Elephas maximus indicus: one gene and its partners. The protein of the gene in region 1 purifies or fractionates together with the protein of each later gene. This does not show direct contact. Links are inferred from orthologs where the notes say so. Each region holds a gene or a part of one and is shown in the gene's direction. Other genes may lie near its edges. The genes, in order: CLCN5, TMEM9 and TMEM9B.

The links.
Region 2: the proteins of CLCN5 (region 1) and TMEM9 purify together in Homo sapiens (co-immunoprecipitation; 3 studies listed by BioGRID and IntAct, with this or other methods). This does not show direct contact. The link is inferred for Elephas maximus indicus from reciprocal best matches to the Homo sapiens genes CLCN5 and TMEM9.
Region 3: the proteins of CLCN5 (region 1) and TMEM9B purify together in Homo sapiens (co-immunoprecipitation; 3 studies listed by BioGRID and IntAct, counting the BioPlex papers as one, with this or other methods). This does not show direct contact. The link is inferred for Elephas maximus indicus from reciprocal best matches to the Homo sapiens genes CLCN5 and TMEM9B.

Annotation. Positions count from the first base shown.
Region 1 is NC_064846.1:121,757,409-121,764,351, reverse strand, and holds the start of CLCN5 (H(+)/Cl(-) exchange transporter 5), read left to right. Parts: upstream 1-3,848; 5' UTR 3,849-4,115; intron 4,116-4,722; 5' UTR 4,723-4,825; intron 4,826-6,168; 5' UTR 6,169-6,302; coding exon 6,303-6,318; intron 6,319-6,943. UniProt on the Homo sapiens protein: Proton-coupled chloride transporter. Functions as antiport system and exchanges chloride ions against protons. Important for normal acidification of the endosome lumen. May play an important role in renal tubular function.
Region 2 is NC_064836.1:9,656,197-9,663,380, reverse strand, and holds the start of TMEM9 (proton-transporting V-type ATPase complex assembly regulator TMEM9), read left to right. Parts: upstream 1-4,182; 5' UTR 4,183-4,275; intron 4,276-4,349; exon of another isoform or gene 4,350-4,537; intron 4,538-4,764; 5' UTR 4,765-4,801; coding exon 4,802-4,867; intron 4,868-6,088; coding exon 6,089-6,180; intron 6,181-7,184. UniProt on the Homo sapiens protein: Transmembrane protein that binds to and facilitates the assembly of lysosomal proton-transporting V-type ATPase (v-ATPase), resulting in enhanced lysosomal acidification and trafficking.
Region 3 is NC_064825.1:64,171,828-64,179,708, reverse strand, and holds the start of TMEM9B (transmembrane protein 9B), read left to right. Parts: upstream 1-4,826; 5' UTR 4,827-4,947; coding exon 4,948-5,052; intron 5,053-7,881. UniProt on the Homo sapiens protein: Enhances production of pro-inflammatory cytokines induced by TNF, IL1B, and TLR ligands. Has a role in TNF activation of both the NF-kappaB and MAPK pathways.

The DNA of each region.
Region 1 (6,943 bases):
GTACTCAATGTCCACGGACCATTTACGCCTGGACAGGAGCCACTTCTGTAGTGAGCTCCCCTGGTTAGTGGAGTTGGCAACGTATCTTTTCTCCGAATTGCAAATTTATTCCTTCTCCAAGGACAGGAGGATGGCTTTAGGCGTTCAACAGGGCCTATCTCAGGCCCAGGGAAGTCAGCCACTGAATCTGGCTTTGGCGGGCGGGGTGGGGGGGCAGTAAAATATATGCAAGTACTTAGCTTTTGCCAAGAGCACCGTTCTTCTCTGGTTCCTGAGGTATGAGTAGGCTGTGTGGCTGGCTGCTTCTCCCTGAGGAAACTGCCCCCGAAGGGTAGTACCAGCCCGCTGCAGCTGCTACCGGGAATGGTGCCTGAGAACTCCCTGTGATTCAGGTCCCACTTTTGAACTGTCTCTTCCTCCCTCTGCCCCTCAGTTCGTTTTCTAAGCTTGCCTTTGATCCTCAGGGTTCCTAGCTTGTCATAAATATACTCGTTTCACTTGTTTTTTCGTATCTTTGTTGTAAAAAGGGCTTGCTGGAAGCATCTGTCTATTCTGCCATTTTGGCTCCACCTCTAGAGGTGTCTTTTCTAAGGTTAGCTTATATTTTGTATTTTGTCTCTATTTCCCCTAACATTTTACTCCATTAATTACCTCCTCTTCTTGCCCCTTCAATTTCTCTCTCATGAGTGGATCTTCCTGCTCAATCTGACGGAAGCTCCAGTTTCCCCTACCCTGGGATAGGAAAAAAAGCAAGCAATCAAACAAACCTCTTCTTGAAGAGTCACCCCAGACACACCTTTTTTTCCTATTTATTTTGTTGTTGTTGTTGTTCAGAATATACATAGCAAAACATATACCAATTCAACAGTTTGTATATGTGCAATTCAGTGACATTGATTACATTCTTTGAGCTGTACAGCCATTCTCACCCTCCTTTTCTGAGTTGTTCCTCCCCCATTAACATAAACTCAGATACACCTTCTTAAAGAAGTATTCCAGTAAAGGGATTGCCCTGATCAAAAACCTTAGGTCTTTCTCAATCACTTTCTGAATTAAGTACAAATCTCAGTCCAACATTTAGTATCTTCCATAATTGGGTCTCAGTTTATCTTCTGGGTATATCTTCCACAACTCCCCTGTATTTTCCTACCCTAAGCTTCAGTCACAGAAGACTTCTCAGGCCCTCAGATATGATTTCCTGCCTGTACACCTTTGTACAATGCATTATCTCCACTTGAGTTTATGTTTATCAATGGACTCAGCACAACCTGTCCTGGTTTCTTTTTAGTTACTTGTGTCAACCCCCTCACCCCCACTACACACACAAAGCAAGAACTAAATGTTACCAGGTGAGAAGGTAAAGATTAGCTTGGACTGAGTAAAAATTCACCCGGTCATTCATCAGGCTGGGAGAAGAGACATAGATAAAGGCAGCTACAAATTTGACAGGGAACAATATTTCTCGCAAAGACAAGCTGCAGCTGTAAAATGATAACAACCCCTTTATTTGAGTGATTATTGCTTTTTCATTCACTGAGAAGCTTTGTTCTCTAAAATCATAGACTATCAGAAACTTTGCTGCTTGAAATCGTATTAGTAAGAATAAAACATCCCACATTTGTCTGGAGGATCTAAGTTTCTTTGACAAAGAAAAGCAGCCTTGATTTTAAACCAGGTGTAGAGCTTCAGATAAGGGGTAACTGGACAGAACATTCCACATCTATCTTTACTTTGTGATTCTCAAGGAAACAGGACTCTGGGCTCACTTTGCAGTCCAGTCCTGATGTTGATCCCTTTACACACAACCCTGCTTTGCTCTGAGCTTACAAAACACATTGCTTTGTTGAAAATTCACCTAAACTCCACCCTTCTCCCAAATCCTATAATGACTCTTCTTTGGTGAGATGCCCAAAAATGCTCAAAGATGTGAGATGTTCCTCTAGTGTGCAGTCTTCCCTCATTGCCCCCTTTACCGTCCAGTTGATTCCAACTCAGCGACCCTATAGAATAGGATAGAACTGCCCCATAGGGTTTCCAAGGCTGTAATCTTTATGGAAGCACACTGCCATATCTTTCTCACACGGAGCAGCTGGCGGGCTTGAACTGCCAACCTTTCAGTTAGCAGCTGAGCTCTTAACCACTGTGCCACGAGAGCACCCTTTCCTCGTTGCAATGGGTGAAAAAACTTGACTTTGTCCCACTACAAATTTGTCCTTGGTGGCCTTTAGCTGATTGGGTTAGGATACAGGTTCTGTATCCCTTAGCACTTAGCTAATACAAAGTAGGCAGTCAAAAATGTTCACTGCAGTAGACTCTGAATTAGAATACTTGAATTCTAGTATGATTATCTGGATTGATTATACAGATTCCAGTCTCAGTTCTGCCAATAACTAATTGGTGGGATCATTTTAACCGACTCAACGCACCTCCTTTGGCCTAAGTTTTCTCTTCTGTCAAACGAGGAACTGTTTTTTCCAACCCTAGGGCGCAGGGCTTTGGAGTCAAAAGACCCAGGTTGGAATCCCAGTTCTACTGTTTACTAATCCTGTGACTTTTGCTTTTCTGAGCCTCACTGTTATGGATTGAATTTTGTCCTCCAAAAACGTGTGGCTAGGCCACCATCCTCAGTATTGTGTGGCTGTCCACCATTTTGTAATCTGATGTGATTACCCTATGTGTTGTAAATTCTAACCTCTATGATGTTAATGAGGCAGGATTAGAGGCAGTTATCTTAATGAGGTAGGACTCAGTCTACAGGATTGGGTTATATCTTGTGTCTTTTGAGATATAAAAGAGAGAATTGAGCAGAGAGGAAGAAGGGCCTTCAGCTACGAAGAAAGAAGAACCAGAGCAGAGGTCTCCTTTGGACCCAGGGTCCCTGCATTGAGAAACTCCTAGATCAGAGGAAGATTGATGACAAGGACCTTCCCCCAGAACCGACAGGGGGAGAAAGCCTTCTGCTGGAGCTTGTGCCCTGAATTCAGATTTATAGCCTCCTAGACTGTGCTGGGATAAATTTCTGTTTGTTAAAGCCATCCACTTGTATTTCTGTTATACCAGCACTAGATAACTAAGACACTTAGTTTTATAATTATTTAAATGAAGATAATACTGATAACTGCGGTGTGGATTTTCCAGTGTTGCTGTAAGGATAAAATTGGTTGCTACAAGCATTACTACCACCAATATGTGATCTCAGACAAGTTAATCTTTCTGTTTCTGTTTTCTTATGAACAAAAAATGGAAAAACAATAGTATATACCCCTTGGGGTAAGGAGCCTTGGTGTCGCAGTGGTTATGCGACCAGAAGGTCAGCAGTTCTAGCACCAGCCAACTCAAAGGTCCATAGTTGAAACCTATGGGCTGCTTCAGGGGAGACAGATGTGGCAGTGTGCTTCCTTAACGATTTACAGCCTTGGAATCCCCATAAGGCAATTCTACTGTCTTATAGGGTCGCTATGAGTCAGAATTGACCTGACGGCACCGGTTTTTTTTTTTTTTTAACCCCTTCGGGTTATTGTGAGCTTTAAATGAGGTAAAAAAAAAAAGTAAAAGGATTAGAGCAGTGCCTGAAATAATAAGAGGTTCAAAATACGTGAGCTAATTAACTACTCTGGTGCAGAAGTTCAGGATAAACAATTTTATTCTAAGGACAAAAGCAAAGAAAGTACAGCAGACGAAAACATGGAAACATAATGCAACATTTCTTTTTTTTACACAAGTGATACGCCCAGCACTGGGTTAGGGCCCGCCCAGTCCGCGTTAAATATGGCAGCGAGCAGGGCCGCCTACTGCGGCTGCGCTAGCTGAAACTCCGCCCAACACTGTCTCGGCAGTTTTCTCCGCCCCTGTTGGCCTAGTGCAGGTCCCTGCCTTTGCCGAGGTGCAGGGAGCTGGCCGGCTTCAGCGCGCACGCGCGCAGATGTCGGCGGTGCTGAGCCCCTACTTGAGAGGCTCCTGTCACATGAGCCGCGCGCCCGCTCTGTTCCCCCTCCTCCCTGGCTGGGCTGTGTGAATGAAGCTCTGCAGGCTACGTGGAGCGCTAGCTCAACTTGGTGTCCTGGACTTCAGAGCGAACTGAGTGCACTGCCCGCGGGCGACGGACTCAGCGACAGGTAAAGACAAAAGGGCTGTCCCTTCCCCAAAAGGTTCTTCGCGGCGCCGCTGGCCCCTGGCCCACCTCCTGAGCACCCTATGAGCGCAGCGACTCCGGGGGAGTGCTCCCCTGCCAGCTCAGCTCCTGGAGATAGGTGATTCCCGTACTCAGCCGCCGTTGCCTGGCACTTGGAGGAGTTAGCCAGGCTAGTTCTAGCCAGTGTGTGGCGGGATCTTCCAGGGAGCCCAACCCTGCTCTCCGAGCAAGGGTCCATGAGCTGCCTGAGTGAAGGTTCCTCGCGGAGCGGCGCCAAGCCCGCCCAGGTTTTGAATGTGAGTAGTTAGTTGCATATGTCCCCTTTCCAGTACCGGCGCAGGATGGCTTTTGCTGGTAAAGCTCTGTCAAGGCCCATTTTTCTCTCTCCTGTGCTGGACTTGCAGGTTTGTGTGGGTCTTAGCGAAGTTGAGTCCAAACTCACAGAAAAGTAGTTGCTGCACGTTTTCAGTTTCTCAACGCGAGTGGATGGTTCTCTCCAAACTTTCGAGGCTTGCGCTTGAGCTCCTTTACCCTTAAAGGGAAAGCTTTGCCTTTACGTTGACGCGCGTTTACCTTTATTAACATTTCAGAGCAAATCAGTTTCCTGGAGTTACAGAGAAGTTGCGTGTACACTCGTGTAAGCTCCTTCGAGTAAGCAAGGGAAATCCAGAAATTTGGAGCCCAAAAAAGCCAGTAAGATCCACTTTGTATAAACTTCATGCATTTATTAGCAACTACCCAGGTTTAACCTCAGAGATGTTAAATTTTCGCCTTGCCCCATTAGGCTCAGATCAGTACTTCTTAACTGCACATATAATGGGGGTGGGGGGTGGGGGGTGGGGGGAAGGCAAACCAAAACAAACTGTCCCAGGTTCCAGATAAGTCACCAGGGCGCTTTTTCCCTGTTGAATTCATCCTGGAAATATATTATATGAGTTCGCAGTTTTTCTGGACTTCCTGAACCTTTCGTTGTCTTTTTCTCTATCGGTATTTTGGGACTAGTGTGTACATTAATCCTTAAAAGAAAAAGTCATTAAAGAAGGCCAAAATGATGATTCTCAAGTTAGTGTTGGTCTTCAGTGTTTGTGTTTTAGCGGTTTCACTTTGGGGATGGAGGTCTTGATTGTATAAAAGCTAAGGAAATAACAACCTACTTTGATGTTCACCAGGTCAAAAGGTGAGGACTTTTCCTTAGAAAAAGCAGATTGGCTTGTATGCTAAATAAGGAAGACCAATTTATTGACTAAGAACTTGTTTAAATGGACAGGCAAAGTGCTCAGTATATTAAACCTCTGAATCAAGTAGTCAGACATCTCACTTTTTCTCTCATCCTTAGCTCCTTTCCTGTCTTTGCAAAGAGTATTGTCCTAAGACCGGATTTGAAGTTTTAAAAATAGGAATTAGCTGAATTAATTTGGTTTTACTTAAACTGGTATTCACAACATTTGCTCTCCTTTCTACTGATTTTTAATGTAACGTTGGGTATTTAGGGGTTGGATATTATTCTTCTCTTCATTCCCAAAGGAAACCCTGGAGGCGTAGTGGTTAAGTGCTACCGCTACTAACCAAAGGCTTGGCAGTTCGAATCTGCCAGGCGTTCCTTGGAAACTCTGTGGGTCAGTTCTACTCAGTTCTGTAGGGTCGCTATGAGTCGGAATCGACTCGATGGCACTGGGTTTGGTTTTTTTTTTTTTTTCATTCCCAAAAGCGTGGAACTTCAAGATGGGAAATCAAGATGGGAAAGACTTTAACTGTTATCTCATCCAACCACCCAGCCTTTGAGATTCTGAAACCCATTTACTCAAGATCCATTGATTCATGCAGAATTGTACAGCACTGAGTAGCAAAATTAATTGACTCTAGGTCTCCGGATTTTCTCTTTCTTCAGCAACTCCTTGCTGCTTAGGGGGAAATGTGACACTGCCTGTGTCTGCGTATCTTTAAAAGAGAGATTCAGAGAGAGGTAGGAGATAATTTTCAAGGAGGTGAAATGTATTTTTGCATTTATGTATTCATTTTTCTTTTCACATTTTCAGGGTTGGGGTTCTAGCATTTTCCAGAAAGCAGGACCACACCTTCCATCTACACCCTATTCAAGACTCTCTACAAAACTGGAGTGCTCTAGGAAACCCTGAGACTGTGACCCCAGTGTGGGAGAAGATAGTATCAGATGGCCATGTGGCAGGGTAAGAAATTAGCACTTATTCCTCTAACTGGTTTTTCTTCCTTCTTATCCTCCAGTCTTACCCATCCCCCAAGCCAGTGGCAGCTAGCCAGCTATTTCTTTAATTTAACCCTTTGTCTTGGCAAGGACAAAACACATTAGCTTAAAAGTAGCTGCTGCTAGCTAGAAGCTCAAATTATTTTAAAGTAGAGGTGGAGGAGTGAAGGGAGGTAGCAGGAAAATTTAGTGCCAGAAGCATTTTAAAAGAACTCCCTTTCATTTAAACATGTGCTTGTGGGGGTTATATATGAGGAAACAGGATATTTTTTATATTTGTGCTTTTCTTTGGTTTCCTGAAAATTTCTATCATAGGATTCTCGAAGGTGGGTAGACAGATGTCAGTGTCTCCCTGGCTTCCTCTTCTCAATAAAAACTTTCCTGGGACTTAATGCAGCTTGTAAAAGCATATTTAGTATTACAAGGTTTATATTTGGTGATGGAGGAAAAAAATGCCTGTTTTAATAATGTGAAGTACCCGAGAGCAAAGGTCAGCAACATCTTGGGTGGTGGAGTTACATCTCTTGTGAACCTGTGAATTGCTACCACATAGAAAATTTACTCTTTATTTTTAGTGGGGTTAACGATTG
Region 2 (7,184 bases), on another chromosome or scaffold:
TATTAACCTAAAGATCAGGTCCGTGGTTCCAACCTACCAGCTGTTCTGTGGGAGACAGATGAGCTAGTGTGCTTCCGTAAAGATTACAGTCTTGGAAACCCTATGGGACAATTCTATTCTGCCCTATATAGGGTCAGTATGAGTCAGATTCGACCCCACAGCAACAGGTTAATCTGCCCCTCAGGAATCCCAAAATATCAAAGCTGAAAGTTACCTTAGTATCTGTCTTAGTTATCTAATGCTGCTGTACCAGAAATACTACAAGTGGCTGCCTTCAAGAAAGAGAAATTTATTCTCTCACAGTTTAAAACTGAAAACCAAACCGTTGCCACAAGTCAATTCTGACTCATAGCAAGTTTAGGAGGGCAGAAGTCCAAATTCAGTGCGCCAGATCCAGGGGACAGTAGTGAGATGAAATGGACTGGTACTGGCCATTTTGAATCAGACAATCATACGGTCTACTATGCCATGAATGACAAATTGAAGAGGAATGCTGTTGCATTCATCATTAAAAATAATACTTCAAGATCCATCCTGAAGTACAATGCTGTCAGTGATAGGATAATATCCATACACCTACAAGAAAGACTATTATTTAAAATATAGTCCTATGACTGTACAACTATTAATAATACGACTATATTTCAAATGTACACACCAACCACCAAGGCCAAAGATGAAGAAATGGAAGATTTTTTACCAATTTCTGTAGTCTGAAATTGATCGAACATGCAATCAAGATGCATTGATAATTATTGATGATTGGAATGCACCAGAAATTGGAAACAAAAAAGAAAGATCAGTAGTTAGAAAATATGGTCTTGGTGATAGAAATGATGCCGGAGATTGCATGATAGAATTTTGCAAGACCAACAACTTCTTCATTGCAAATATGTTTTTTCAACAACATGAATGCCAACTACACATGTGGACCTCACTGGATAAATACACAGGAAACAAATCGACTACATCTGTGGAAAGAGACAATGGAAAATCTCAGCATCATCAGTCAGAACGAGGCTGGGGCTGACTGTGAAACAGACAATCAGTTGCTCATACGAAAGTTCAGGTTGAAGCTGGAGAAAATTAGAACGAGTCCACTAGAACCAGAGTATGATCTTGAGTCTATCCCACCTGAATTTAGAGACCATCTCAGGAAGAGATTTGATGCGTTGAACACTAATGACCGACACCAGACGAGTTGTGGAATGACATTGAGGACATCATACATGAAGAAAGCAAGAGGTCATTAAAAAGACAAGAAAGAAAGGAAAGACCAAAATGGATATCAGAAGACAATTTGGAACTTGCTCTTTAATGTGAAGTAGCTAAAGCAAACAGAAGAAAGGATGAAGTAAAAGTGTCGAACAGAAGATTTCAAAGGGTGGCTCAAGAAGACAAAGTAAAATATAACAACGTGTGCAAAGACCTAGAGTTAGAAAACCAAATGGAAGAACATGCTCAGTGTTTCTCAAGCTGAAAGAACTGAAGAAAAAATTCCAGCCTTGAGTTGCAATTATTGAAGGATTCTAGGGGCAAAATACTGAACGACGCAGGAAGCATTAAAAGAAGGTGGAAGGAATACACGGAGTCATTGTACCAAAAAGAATTGGTCGACATTCAATCATTTCAGGAGGTAGCATATGATTAAGAACTGATGATACTAAGGAAGAAGTCCAAGCTGCTCTGAAGACATTGGCGAAAATCAAGGCTTCAGAAATTGATGGAATACCAACTGAGATGTTTGAACAAATGGATGCATCGCTCTAAGTGCTCACTCATTTATGTCAAGAAATTTGGAAGATCGCTAACTGGCCAACCAACTGGAAGAGATACTTATGCCTATGCCAAAGAAAGGTGATTCAACAGAATGTGGAAATTATCAAACAATATCATTAATATCACATGCAAGTAAAATTTTGCTAAAGATTATCCAAAAGCAGATGCAGCTGTACATCAGCAGAGAACTGCCAGAAATTCAAGCCAGATTCAGAAGAGGACGTGGAACAGGAGACATCATTGCTGGTGTCAGATGGATCCTGGCTGAAAGCAAAGAATGCCAGAAGGATTTTTACCTGTGTTTTATTGACTACGCAAAGGCATTCAACTGTGTGGATCCTGATAAATTATGAATAACATTGCAAAGAATGGAAATTCCAGAACGCTTCAATTGTGCTCATGAGGAACCTATACATAGGCCAAGAGCCAGTTGTCTGAACAGAACAAGGGAATACCGCATGGTTTAAAGCCAGGAAAGGTGTGTGTCAGGATCGTACCCTTTCTGCATACTTATTCAATCTGTATGCTGAGCGAATAATCAGAGAAGCTGGACTATATGAAGAACAGGGCATCAGGATTGGAGGAAGACTCAACAACAACCTGTGATATGCAGATGACACAACCTTGCTTGCTGAAAGAGAACTTGAAGCACTTACCGATGAAGACCAAAGACCACAGCCTTCAGTATGTATTATACCTCAACATAAAGAAAACAAAAATCCTCACAACTGGGCCAATAAGCAATACCATGATAAACGGAGAAAAGACTGAAGTTGTCGAGGATTTCATTTTACTTGGATCCACAATCAATGCCCAGGGAAGTAGCAGTCAAGAAATCAAACAATGCATTGCATTGGGCAAATCTACTGCAAAAAACATCTTTAAAGTTTTAAAAACCAAAGATGTCACTTTAAGGACTAAGGCGTGCCTGACCTAAATCATGGTGTTTTCAATAGCCTCATGCATGAGAAAACTGGACAATGATTAAGGAAAACCGAGGAAGAATCAATGCCTTTGAATTATGGTTTTGGCCAAAAATATTGAATATACCATTAACTGCAAAAGAATGAACAAATCCATCTTGGAAGAAGTACAGCCAGAATGCTCCTCAGATGCAAGAGTGGCAAGGCTTCGTGTCACATACTTTGGACTTGTTATCAGGAGGGACCAAGCTTAATATCCCTGGAGAAGGATATTAAGCTTGGCAAAGTAGAGGGTCAGCAAAAAAAAGAGGAAGACCCTCAATGAGGTGGATTGACACAGTGGCTGCAACAATGGACTCAAGCATAACAAAATTATGAGAGTTGGCATGGAACTGGGCAGTGTTTCGTTCTGTTGCACATAGTGTTGCTATGAGTCAGAACCAACTTGACAGCATCTAACAACAACAATAGCTCCAAGGGAAGGTTTTCTCTCTCTCTCTTTTGGCTCTGGGGGAGGGTCCTTGTCATTGATGTGCCTGGTCTAGGAGCTTCTCAGTGCAGGGACCCCTGATCCAAAGGATGCACTTGTGTCCCGGAGCTTCTTGCTTCGTAGTGAGAGATCCCTCTCTCTCTCCTCACTTGTGTCTCCTTTTATCTCTTGTGAGATAATAGGTGATGCAGGCCACACCTCAGAGAAACTCCCCTTACATCCTGTCAGGGCTGTGATCTGAGTAAGGGTGTTGCATCCCATCCTGATTCCCTTTAACATAACCTAATCTTGTCTCATTACTAACTCATAACCACAGGCAGAGATTAGGACTTAAAACTCATACGAAAATTACATCAGATCACAAAATGGAGAACAATCACACAATACTGGGAATCATGGCCTAGCCAAGTTGACACACATTTCTGGGAGACACAGTTCAGTCCATAATAGTATCCAACCAATTCCTAAGGAAACTGAGGCCCAGAGAGAGGAGATATCTTTTCCGGGGCAGCACACGCCTGGCCTGGCATATCAGCACGGAGACTGTTGTGCCCATTGCCACCCCTGGTTTCCTCCTTTTCCTCAGGGGTTGGGAGGGTGGTGTGTGTGTGTGTGTGTGCGTGCGTGCGTGCGTGTGTGTGTTTGTGTGTGTGTGTGTGAGTGAGAGATGCTGGGTAATGTCCTCTGTAGCAAAGGTGTGGATCCCTGAACACTTCCAAATCGTGAATGAGGACGAAGACCTCATCATTTACCATCATTATTGTTGTTGTTATTATTTTATAGTTTATAAAATGCTTTCTCCTTAAAATAGCAAGACGAACAAGCACTGTAGTACGGGTTTTACAGGCCACAAAGGTAAAACCCTTCAGCATTTCTAGTTCAGAAGGCTGACGTTCCTTTTCTTATTTGATTGAGTTTGAGAATTGTCTCTCTCTCCCTTGAGCGAGCCTTCTCGCCCTGGCGAAGGTGGGACTTGTTGCCTTGGCGACGGCGAGGTTAGACTGAGCGGCTGCTCTGGCAGCCAATAGAAGCCGGAAGAGGGCGGGCCTGCAGAGTCCGGTGCGGCCGTGGCTGGGCCCGGAGGTACGCGGCTGGCGTGTAGGGGGTTGTTATGGGGGGTCGCGGGAGTCCCGGCGGGGGGTCCCAGCCCGGCCCGAGATCCCTGGACGCGGTGGGCAGTGGGGTTCGGCGTCGAATCAGGGCTCCCAGACTCTGCCCCCAAAGTTCCCGTCGGGCCTACGTGGGGAGGAGCTGCCGGGACGGGCGGAGGTGGAGATGGCGGAGGGCGTTGGGGCGCGCTGTGCGAGGGGCAGAGTCGGGCCCTGTCGGAGCAACTCTAGGCCCGGTTAGGCCGTGTCCCCTGGGGGCCCGGACCCCTGGGGCCGCCCTTTGCAGGCCTTACCGGGTGGACAATGGAGAGGCGGAGCCTTGGCGGGGGTGGGGTGGGGGGAGAAAGCAGCATTTGGGGACCGGGCTCGGGTAGCCCTGGAATCCGGGAGCCCAGCCACCAACCCCATTCCTACATCTGGCTGTGGTGTGCCTTCCTCCTCCCCGACTCTGTCTCTTTTCCAGGTGTCCCGTCTTACTGGCCCAGCGAGCCTGAGTAAGCATGAAGCTCCTATCTTTCGTGGCCGTAGTCGGCTGTTTGCTGGTACTCCCAGCTCAAGCCAGCAAGGTGAGCACCCATGCACGACGGCCCTATGTACAGGGCTTCCCCAGAGGTAGCTGCTGCTCAGACCCTGCCCCTCACTCTTCTGTGGGCCGTGCTTTTGAGGGCGTGTTCTCTTAGGCTCGGGGCTGCAGGACTTCCTAAGGGTAGAGCCAGTGAGAGTGGGCTGGGGAGAGGTCGGCGGCCAGGATGGTGCTGGATCAGACAGGCTGGAGGCGGAATTCCAGCAAGGGAGTTCGTGTCTGGGAAGTTGTTCTCCACACACACGGCAAACTCCTGTGTAAAATGGGCGTGGTTATAATATCTATGGGGGTCTCTGGGTGGCGGTAAACAGATAAATCCTCAGCTCAACTACTAGCTGAAAGGTTAGCTGGTGGTTGGAACGCACCCAGTGGTGCCCCAGAAGACAGGCCTGGAGATCTGCTTCTGAAAGGTTGCAGCTTTGAAAACCCAATGGAGCAGTTCTACTCTGCGCACATGGGGTCACCAGGAGTCACAATCGACTCAACAGCAACTAACAACGACATAATATGCACTACTTAGGAAGAGTCAAATTACGTAATGTAAAAATGTGTTATAAGTGTAAATCCCTATACAGATGGAAGTTTCTGTTAGTAAAGGGCGACCCACTAGCCGTGGGACACCTGAGTAACTTCCCTTCTGTAAGGGCAAGAGATTTAGAGCTGGGTCTGGGTGGGTCCACGGAATTTGAGATTTGAAGGCTTTGAAGTAAGGTTGAGTTTGAGGGTTTGTTTGCATTCCGTCTGGGGAATTCTTGATTGGAATGATAATAATTGTGGTGCTGTCTCTGATCCATTCCAGAGGGAAAGAACTTTAAGTGAGGCTACTTGAATATTCCCGTGGAAAAACCCACATTTCCTTACTAACCCCCAGCCCTTTCCTTCCAACACTCCTAGCCTAGGAAGTTGGAGATGGAATGAGGGTGGGAGGTGGGCAGAGGTGCACACAGACATGCGGGACCCAGGACATAGGGTCCCAAGCATCCCACTTAGGAAATGACTGTTCTCAACAGCTTTGTGTGAGTCTCATTTGCCGGTTGGACAGTTTCTGTCTTGAGGGCCCTGTGATGTAGCACCTTTCCTACAGAGGTCATTGGAGGTGGAGAAAGATCAGAAGCGTACATACAGAACAGGGAGCTCAGAGTCAGAAGCCTTGCTAGAACTGAACCCTGGGGCCCGTCTACCTCGGCTGTGTTTTTTCTTCCAGAGTTCTGAAGATATTCGGTGCAAATGCATCTGTCCACCCTATAGAAACCTCAGTGGGAACATTTACAACCAGAATGTGTCACAGAAGGACTGGTAAGGCGTTACGTGGGCTGGCCCCTTGGCTGCTCAGCCTAGTTCAGGTTATGGGTGTTTACTAGGATCCTTGGAACTCCTGGAGGATAAGCTTGCTCTCCCATTTCTATAGAGAGCCTGAGAAAGGAATATTTTGTCCAGAGATACACAGCCAGTTGGAAACAGGACCCAGATGTCTTGAATTCCAGCTGAGGGGTTCCTCGTCAGAAGAGTGAACTGTATTGTTTTGCTTTGAATTGGGGTCTTGACTGATGTATGCAGAATGGAAATAGAGTAGTTGGGCGAGGTAAGTGTTATGGCCATGGACTTTTTCAAAGCCCTGTTATGTGAGTGATTTTGTGCCAGTCTCTCAACACCCTTGTAAGGTAAATGGGATGGGTATTGGTCCCTTTGTATAATTGCAGAGACTGAACCCCAGAGAGAGAATCTAAATTATACTAAAAACTACTGAAGTCTTAATTAATTTCTGGGTGCCTTACTTTAAAAGATGAAGAAATAAGAATTCACTCAGAGAAGGGAGACGAAGCTTGGGAGGTGGGAGTTTCAGCATGTCCTAGAGGAATTATTTAAGGAGCTAGAAATAGCCTGGAGGGCTTGGGGACCCCTGAGTGGCTGAAGAGACTGTGAGGAGGGCTGGCATGCTGTGGCGGATGGGAGTACGAGGGGAGTGGAGGATTTTGTAGGACTCAGTTATGTTCAATGTGTAGATTTGGGGCCAGGGCTTGAAGCCTTCAGGCAAATTTAAATGTGAGTGGAGGGAGGGTTTGTAATCCAGGCTGTTTCCGGATCCTCCTTGGAGGGATCTGAGCACAGATGGGATGACACCTTGATCAGGCACAGTAGAAGAGATGAACATCGGATGGCAGTCTGGGCCATGTTTCCTATACTTGGTTGTAAATTAGGATCATCAGGTGAGCTTTGGGGAAATTCAAGTTCCCAGCACCTTCTCCCACTCCCTGTCCCCCGCCCCACGATTGAGACTCAGTAAACACGGGATGAGGGGC
Region 3 (7,881 bases), on another chromosome or scaffold:
CTCCTTATTTCTTGTTACTGCTTCCAGAATTTTCTCCCTCCATCTTCCTATAAAACTCCCCAGCTTTCAGTCTCATGCCATCAAATTATATCCCCTACTTCCCTTCATTGTTGCTATTATCTATAGACCCTTGGGTCATTCCCTTTCATTTCTCAATAAAATTTTAGCTCCTGGCTCACTTCACTCTCTCCAACACTGCTACTGATTTAACTCTTGCCATTTAATTACATACATGGCCGAACCTTTTAATACCCTGATATATTGGTTTCTTGAATATCAGTTATCCTCTACCATTCTCAGCCATTTACTCCCATGGTCCTACCTTAGATGTTATTTATTACCAAAAACTAACCTAGCCATAATCTCAGCTTAATGTATCTCACTGTCCGAGCACCACCTTCTATCTTTCCAGCTATCTCCTAGTAACATGACTCCAATAATCATTTGACTACTACTGTTTCATTGTTCCTCACTTCTCTGAGTTCCTCTTGTCCCTCCTGTGCTGTCAAGTTGATTCTGACTTTTAGTGATCCTATAGGACAGAATAAAACTGCCCTGTAGGGTTTCCCAGGATGTAATCTTTACAGGAGCAGATCGCCAGGTCTTTGCTCCAAAGAGTGGCTGGTGGTTTCAAATCCCCAACCTTTCAGTTAACAGCCAAGCACTTAACCATTGCACTACCAGGGTTCCTTCCTCTCTTCTTAACCAACTTAAATTCCACATTCAGTCATCATCATCATTCACATACATGTAATTTTAACACAGATTACCTTCTCTTGTCATACTTCACAAAACCACTTTAGCTAAAGCTAGCTATTTACCTAATTGCCTATATCTGTGCAGGAACCGGGTGACTAGTCTTATTTTAAATTCATGTTCATAACCCTCAGGCCCTTTTCATAAGTATTGTAAGACACTGGGAAACAAATGATAGTTTAATACCCTTCTGAAAGAAACTAAAAATTCTCCCTAGTTTGGTATGGACCTTGTGTTGCTTTGTTATTTAGGGGCTCCAGTAACTTGCCAGCAGTAGTGGGACCAGCAGCTCAAGGAACAGAGATAATATTATGGCCCTGTGCATTGCTGTTATTATGGTGGGCACTAGCAAGGTACAGCAGTGGCATGATACACTTATGTGGCTTCATATGTAGTAGAGGGCAGATCTCACTAAAGGGGGCAAGTAAGAGGGAGCATCCTAGCAGGTGCACATGGTAAACAAGAGGGCTCATTATCAGACGTTTCCAGGGTATGCTCAGAAGTACTTCAGGGTATGTGTGTGTATGTGAATCCTGTCCTAACCAGTGGAGGCACAATCCAGGGAAATCATCATTGATGCTGTGCATGACTCCATTTGTACTTCCAGGCTGGTATGGCCTGAGCAAGTGCTGGGAAGACCAGAAAAGATGGAGTGGAAGAATAAGAAAGAAAGGGGTGTCCAGAGCGCTGTTTGACCACTGGAAGGGAAAGAGGATAATGGGGCTGCAGACTATCTAGAGCTGGCATAGCCTTGGTCCTTGTCATCCATTTGTCCCAGATACATAAATTGCCACTTCTGCTTCCTAACCTTCTGACTTCCATGCTTAAATTTAGAGAAGGCTCCTCTTCTCTCAACCATCCCCCCCCAGAAAATTTTTCAGGCCTCACAAAGAAGAGAGCCTAGGTTAGGTGGGAGGATGCACTTGGGCCTGTGTCACTCCTTAAAGAGGAATGGAGTAGGGAAACCTAGTCACAGGGAAGCATAGAAAGGGAAGGGGAAAGGAGCAGGTTCTCACTAAGGGGCCAGTCCTTCCTGTAAACAGAACAACCCTCATGTGACCTGAAGGTCTAGGAAGACCTTAGGTCAGAAATCTCCCCTCTCCTGCCTAATATAGTGCCCGGGTCCTACCATCTGTACCTCTCCTTTGGGCATTTCAGCATTGCCCTCTAGTGGCCAGAAAGGTACCTGATACTTTTCTCTCAGGCTGACCAGAGGAGCCTCCCTCATCCTCCTTTTGCTTTTCCCTGGTCTCCACAAACATTTATTGGTTTTTACTCTGTCCCAGCGTCTTAGGCCTCTAGTGCTGCCATAATAGAAATACCACCAGTGGGTGGCTTTAACAAAGAGAAATTTATTCTCTCATAGTTTAGTAGGTTACAAGTCCAAATCCAGGGGAAGGCTTTCTGTCAGCTCTGGAGGAAGGTCCTTGTCCTCAATCTTCCCCTGGTTGAGGAGTTTCTCAGGTGCAGGCACCCCATGTCCAAAGGACGTGCTCTGCTCCTGGTGCTGCTTTCTGGGTGATATGAGGTCCCCAGCTCTCTGCTTGCTTCCCTGTCCTTTTATCTCTTGAGAGAGAAAAGGTGGAGCAGGGTACATCTCGGGGAAATTCCCTTTACATTGGATCAGGGAGATGATCCGAGTAAGAGTGGTATTATAATCCCACCCTAACTCTCTTAACATAAAATCACAAAATGGAGGACAACCACATATGGCTTAATCAAGTTGATACACATTTTGGGCGGGGGGGGGGACATAATTTAATCCACGACACCCAGTCTCTGTAGGTACGAAGATAAATAAGACAAGGTCCCTGCTCTCAAAGAGGAGGGGAGGCTGGGAGTATAGAGGCAGATATGGAGACACAATGTTACTATAATGGGGTAAGTTAGGAAAGAGAACTGCATAAACCCGGAAGGGAGTGCATTTAAGTCAAGGAATGCTTTCTGGCTTAGAAGACTCCTGAGGAAAAGGAAAAGTAAGCGCTATCTAGGTATGGGCAGTGCAGAATAAGAACTGACTCCTTCACTTCTATTGAATCCCCTAAAACTATATTCACTTGTTGGCAGACATATACGTCCCCCAAACCCTCCGCTGTAGCTGTGTCAGTTTTTCCTTGTCCCCTCAGTCCTAACTCTGACCTGAGTCTTCATTCAGTCTCCATCTAGGCAGTCATTTTTCAGTCATACCCCTCTCATGGCAGCCACATTCTATATTCTAGAATGGTGCTGCCTACACTTAAAAAGTAAAAAGAAACAAGTGAAATTATTTTAATAATATATTTTATTTAACACAATATACCTAAAATATCACTTCGACCGTAATTATTACACAATTGGGATATTTTGCATTTTTTTTTTTTTTTGTACAAAGTCTGAAATTCAATGTATATTTTGCACTTACAGCACATCTCAATTCAGGCTAGCCATGTGCACGTGCTCAAACGGCACCTGTGGCTAGGGGTTACCGTATTGGACAGCACCGGCTGAGTGTAGTTGGCACTTCTCCTTTAAACAGCTGAGGCCCATCAGACCAGGGTATTACTATATATTTCCTCTAAGCCTGTATACTCCCATTCAAAGCCCTGAGAACAATTTTGAAGAAGGAAGAGAAGCCTTATGAGGTTTCAGCCAAAGAATGAGCACTCCCTTCAGATGCCAAACCTGGAAATTGATCCTGATGAAATCAACTCATCACAAATTTGCCGCTGAATTAGCTTTTAGCAGTCATAGATCCAGTGCCTCACAGTCAGACATATTTGACCCTGGGTGTCTCCAGACTGTCCCCTGGCCAGCAGAACACCCACTACAAAAGCCTGATTAATTCACTAATGTTTCAGCATGTTCACAGAGCACCCTGAAATGGCCGTGGTGAGAGATCATTCAGTCCTGCCGCTCTGGTTCTGGTTGGGGCTGGGCACCACTTGCCATTTGAGACTGAAAAGGGCTAAATACATTTAATGCAACAACACAAGAAGGTGTCAGATTCTAGTATCAACAAAAATCACATGGGAGAAAAAAATGGAGAAAATCGTGTCCGTTAATTAAAACATTTCCACGAACTCGGAAAAGGCTACCTTTAAAACTTGTTTACAGACAGAAAAACGGGTATTCCATGGGAGCAGAATTTCAAACCCACAGATGGCGTTTAATCCCCTCACATTACAGACAAGCGAGGGGAAGTTATTTGCCCAAGGTCATTCAGCAAATCGGTGGTGGCTGATGAGCCCTGCATCTTTCCACTACTTCCACTAACCGAAAAATACTTCAGTGGGAGACACGGCCATCTGCAGAGTACTCCGGACCCGCCCCGGGAAGATCGGTCAGCGTCCCCCCAGCTTCGATGTAGGAGCCAGCCGCCCCGAATAGGCACTGCCTCGCCGGGGCGTAGCGCCACGATTCCCCACCTCCTGGAGTCCTTGGCGAAGGAGGCTGCTAGGGCGGTTCTTTCGCCAACTCCACACCTTCCGGAGCCCGGCCTGGCCCAGCCCCGCCGCTGTGGCCCAGTTCCTGCAGCAGCTCCCATCAGGAGGCGGGCCGGGAGCCTCAAGCCGAGATCAAACTCGCTACGGCATCTCTCGGAGACGCGGAAAGCCGGCAGGAGCCGTGTCGGGGAGGCGCCCAGCTGCGGGCTCGTACCCAAGGCCCGGGAGACGACCCCCGACCCCCGACTGGGGGCGAGCTTCGCCGAGGGGATGCCTCGGCCAGTCCCGGGCCCGTCCCCACTCCTAGCTCGCGCCCTGCCTGCGCCGGCTGGGATGGGCGGCGCTCCCGGCAAATCCTGGGACGCGAGCTCACCCGGGTCTCCGGAGGCTGGCAACAGCCCCGGCTCCGCATGGATTGCTGGAGAGCGGTACAGCACACTGGCGGCTCCACTAGCTCCTGTCGCTGCTGCGCCCGGGAAAGATATCCAAGCGCCTCAAAACCCCGCCGGGCCGAGGCTGCCACCCCGAAGAGGCCTCTTTCCGTTCTGGGGCCCGAGCGTTGGCCGGCCCAGGCGCCCGGACCGCGCAGCCTCCGGTCCCTTAGCACCGGGAACCGTTTCCGGGGCGGATGCTTTTTGCGGCTGACCCGGCGCGGCCCGTGACGAGGTGGCCTAGACGGAAGTGCGGGCGGAGGTGCCGGAGATCCCCAGCCTGAGCCGGGAGCAGGTCTCGGGGCTCCAGGCTGTGGGGACAGCTCGGCCTGTCCGCGATGGCGGCCCTGTGGGGAGGCCTCTTTCGCCTTGGCTCCATGCTCAGCCTGTCGTGCCTGGCGCTCTCGGTTCTGCTCCTCGTGCAGCTGTCAGACGCCGCCAAGGTGAGTCCCGCCCAGCCTTTGCTCCTGACAGCAGCTCCTCCCCTGCCTTCGGCCTTGCCTTGCGAAAACAGAGCCTGTCAGCCTGCTCCCAACCTCCTACCTCCCCCAGCACTGACAGCCCGACCCGTAGCTTCATAGCCTCGGCAAACCCCCACCCGTAAGCCTGGTAGCACCACTCTTGCCCTCCAGCCTTGACGGTCTGACTGTCACTACCCCCGCCCCAGCCCAGACAATACTCCCCTCTCTGCAGCCTTGATAGTCTACCCCTCCTCTCTACCCAGCCGTGACGATGCCTCACAGCCCGAGCAGCAACTCCCCCACCCCACTGACATTTCCCATCCCAGCCCTGACAGCACCCACCTCAAACTTTACAACCTTTCCATCTGTAAGAGCAACCCTACATTCCACCCTTAAGCACTGAGAGACTACCCACCCTCCTCCAGATTCACGGGTCTCCAAACCCCCAAGCCAAAATGACAGGCAGCCCCCATCTCACAGAAGTCTGCTCTCTTACCGACTGACTTTCATCTCAACTCATCCCTGAACAGATTCCCTTTCCATTGTAGAAACTTGCACCTACTGGCAGCTTTCCCTCCCAAAAGGACCTACCGAGTATCTCTCTCCGGCTTAATATCCTCACCACACTCCTTTCAGGACTTCCTGGGCCCTTTCTTGTCTTCCCTCTTCCTGGTAATTTATTGGGCAAAGGAGGAACCAAACTACAGAGGTGCTATTATGGCCCTTCCCTGTTCTGTGTCTTGTTCCTTCTAGTCCCCTCATGCTGCTAGCTGGTTCCCATGGTGCCCCTAACCGCCATATCTGCCCTGGTCCCATACAAGTTTGTGCTTCCTCTTTGTCATGTAAGGCTTTAATCTTAGAAAGTTAATAGAGAGATACTCAGGTTTGTCACCCATAAACTCATTTAATTTGTTGTAGGGTAGTCATGGCAAGGCACACAAGACCTTACAACATTCATTTAGAACCAGAGAATCAGAATTAACAATTACAATGTTAATTCAAAGGTTAGAGTCCAAATCTTTATGCTTCAGGCTTTTACCTTTAATGAGAGGTCTTGGGAAGAAGGCTTAACCACGGCTTGAACTCAGCGGAGGTCCCTCATAGCTAGGGTCTGAGGTTGGTGGTAGCAGGCAGAGTTTCAGTGGGCTCTAGGTGTTTACCTCTGCCTTTTCTCGGTGAGTGAGCAGAAATTCAGGGTTTATTTATGAAATTCCACCTTTGCCTCACACAATAAGGGCCAATGTGATGTCAAAGATTAGTGTGTTATGTCATTTCTTCAGGGATAGAGATTAGCCGAATGTCACATTTTTCTTCTAGGTTAGAAATTAGATTGTTTAAGTTCAGAAATTTTCTAAATAACATCTTCTTGGTTTATAGTTAACGATAGAGAGCCTCACAAAGGTACACATATTTCTATTTCCAAATTCATATTATGAGTGCTTATGCGTATGTATTTTGAAAGCATAATAGTGACTTATACCTTATGGGATTCGAGATCATTATAGAAACAAAAAACATTCCTTGATGAGCTAGCTTGTTATCAGGAAAAACAGGAGAAACCTGCGTAACATGATGGGCAAACAATGCATTTTTAAAAATAGGAGCTTTAATCAATAACATCTTTGAATATTTAAAAAAAAAAAAATGCTGCTGTTGAGTCATTCCGACTCATAGCGACCCTGCAGGACAGAGTACAACTGCCCCATAGGGTTTCCAAGGAGGGGCTGGTAGATCTGAACTGCTGGCCTTTTGGTTAGCAGCCGAGTTTTAACCACTGTGCCACCAGGGCTCCATCTTTGAATACAGGGGTGGGGAAAGACAGGCTACAGGCAGGCAGGTATTTTTGATGAAGCATTCTTTCTGAAACCTTTCCTGTCTCCAACCAGACACCAGCAGCAGCAAGTCTCCTGACTTTCAAAACATTGTTGATACCTTCTGCATATCTCCGTTACTTTATGCAGTGAATTGTAATCATGTACTTATCAGTCTGTTTCACTAGGGTGTGTCCTAATTAAGGGCAGGAACCACGTTTTACCCTTATCTGAATCCCCTTTAAGAGCACAAGGTGTGGTACAGAGCAAATGCTCACTAAGTGGTTGCCAAATGAATTGTGAACATCTCTGCCAGACAGACCACTGTATATAGGAGCAGTGTTTTGGGGACTGAAGAGCCACTGCCATCTCAGATAGATTCCTCTTTGCTGAGGAAGCATCTCCCGCACCCTCTACCCAGATATTTAGTCACCTCTTCTTCCACCTCTTGAAACTTGCTTTGTTGGTAGTTGCCCTCCTCCCTGTTTGTTATGGATTCAGCTGTGTCCCCCCAAAATATGTTGTAAATCATAACCCCTATACCTGTGGATATAATCTCATTTGGGAATAAGGTTTTCTTTGTTATGTTAATGAGGCCATATGCATGACGGTATGCCTTAAACTGATCACTTTTGAGATATAAAAGAACAGATTAGACATAGAAGCAAGGAAACACAAATGGGGGAAACATCCTAGGAACAGAAATTGAAAAGAGACAAGGACCTTCCCCCAGAGCTGACAGAGAGAGAAAGCCTTCCCTGCACTGGTGCCCTGAATTCAGACTTTGAGCCTAAACTGTGAGAAAGTAAATTTCTGTTTGTTAAAGCCACCCCCTTGTGGTATTTCTGTTATAGCAGCACTAAGAAGCTAAGACACTGTGTATCAGGAATTAGAAGCAAAGTTTGCTGGAGAGGGTAAACCATACTGATCTCAGCTAGAATCAAGCTACTTCCCTTATGTAGTTTCTTTCTAGTTATGGCTGGGTGCCTCTAAAACATCA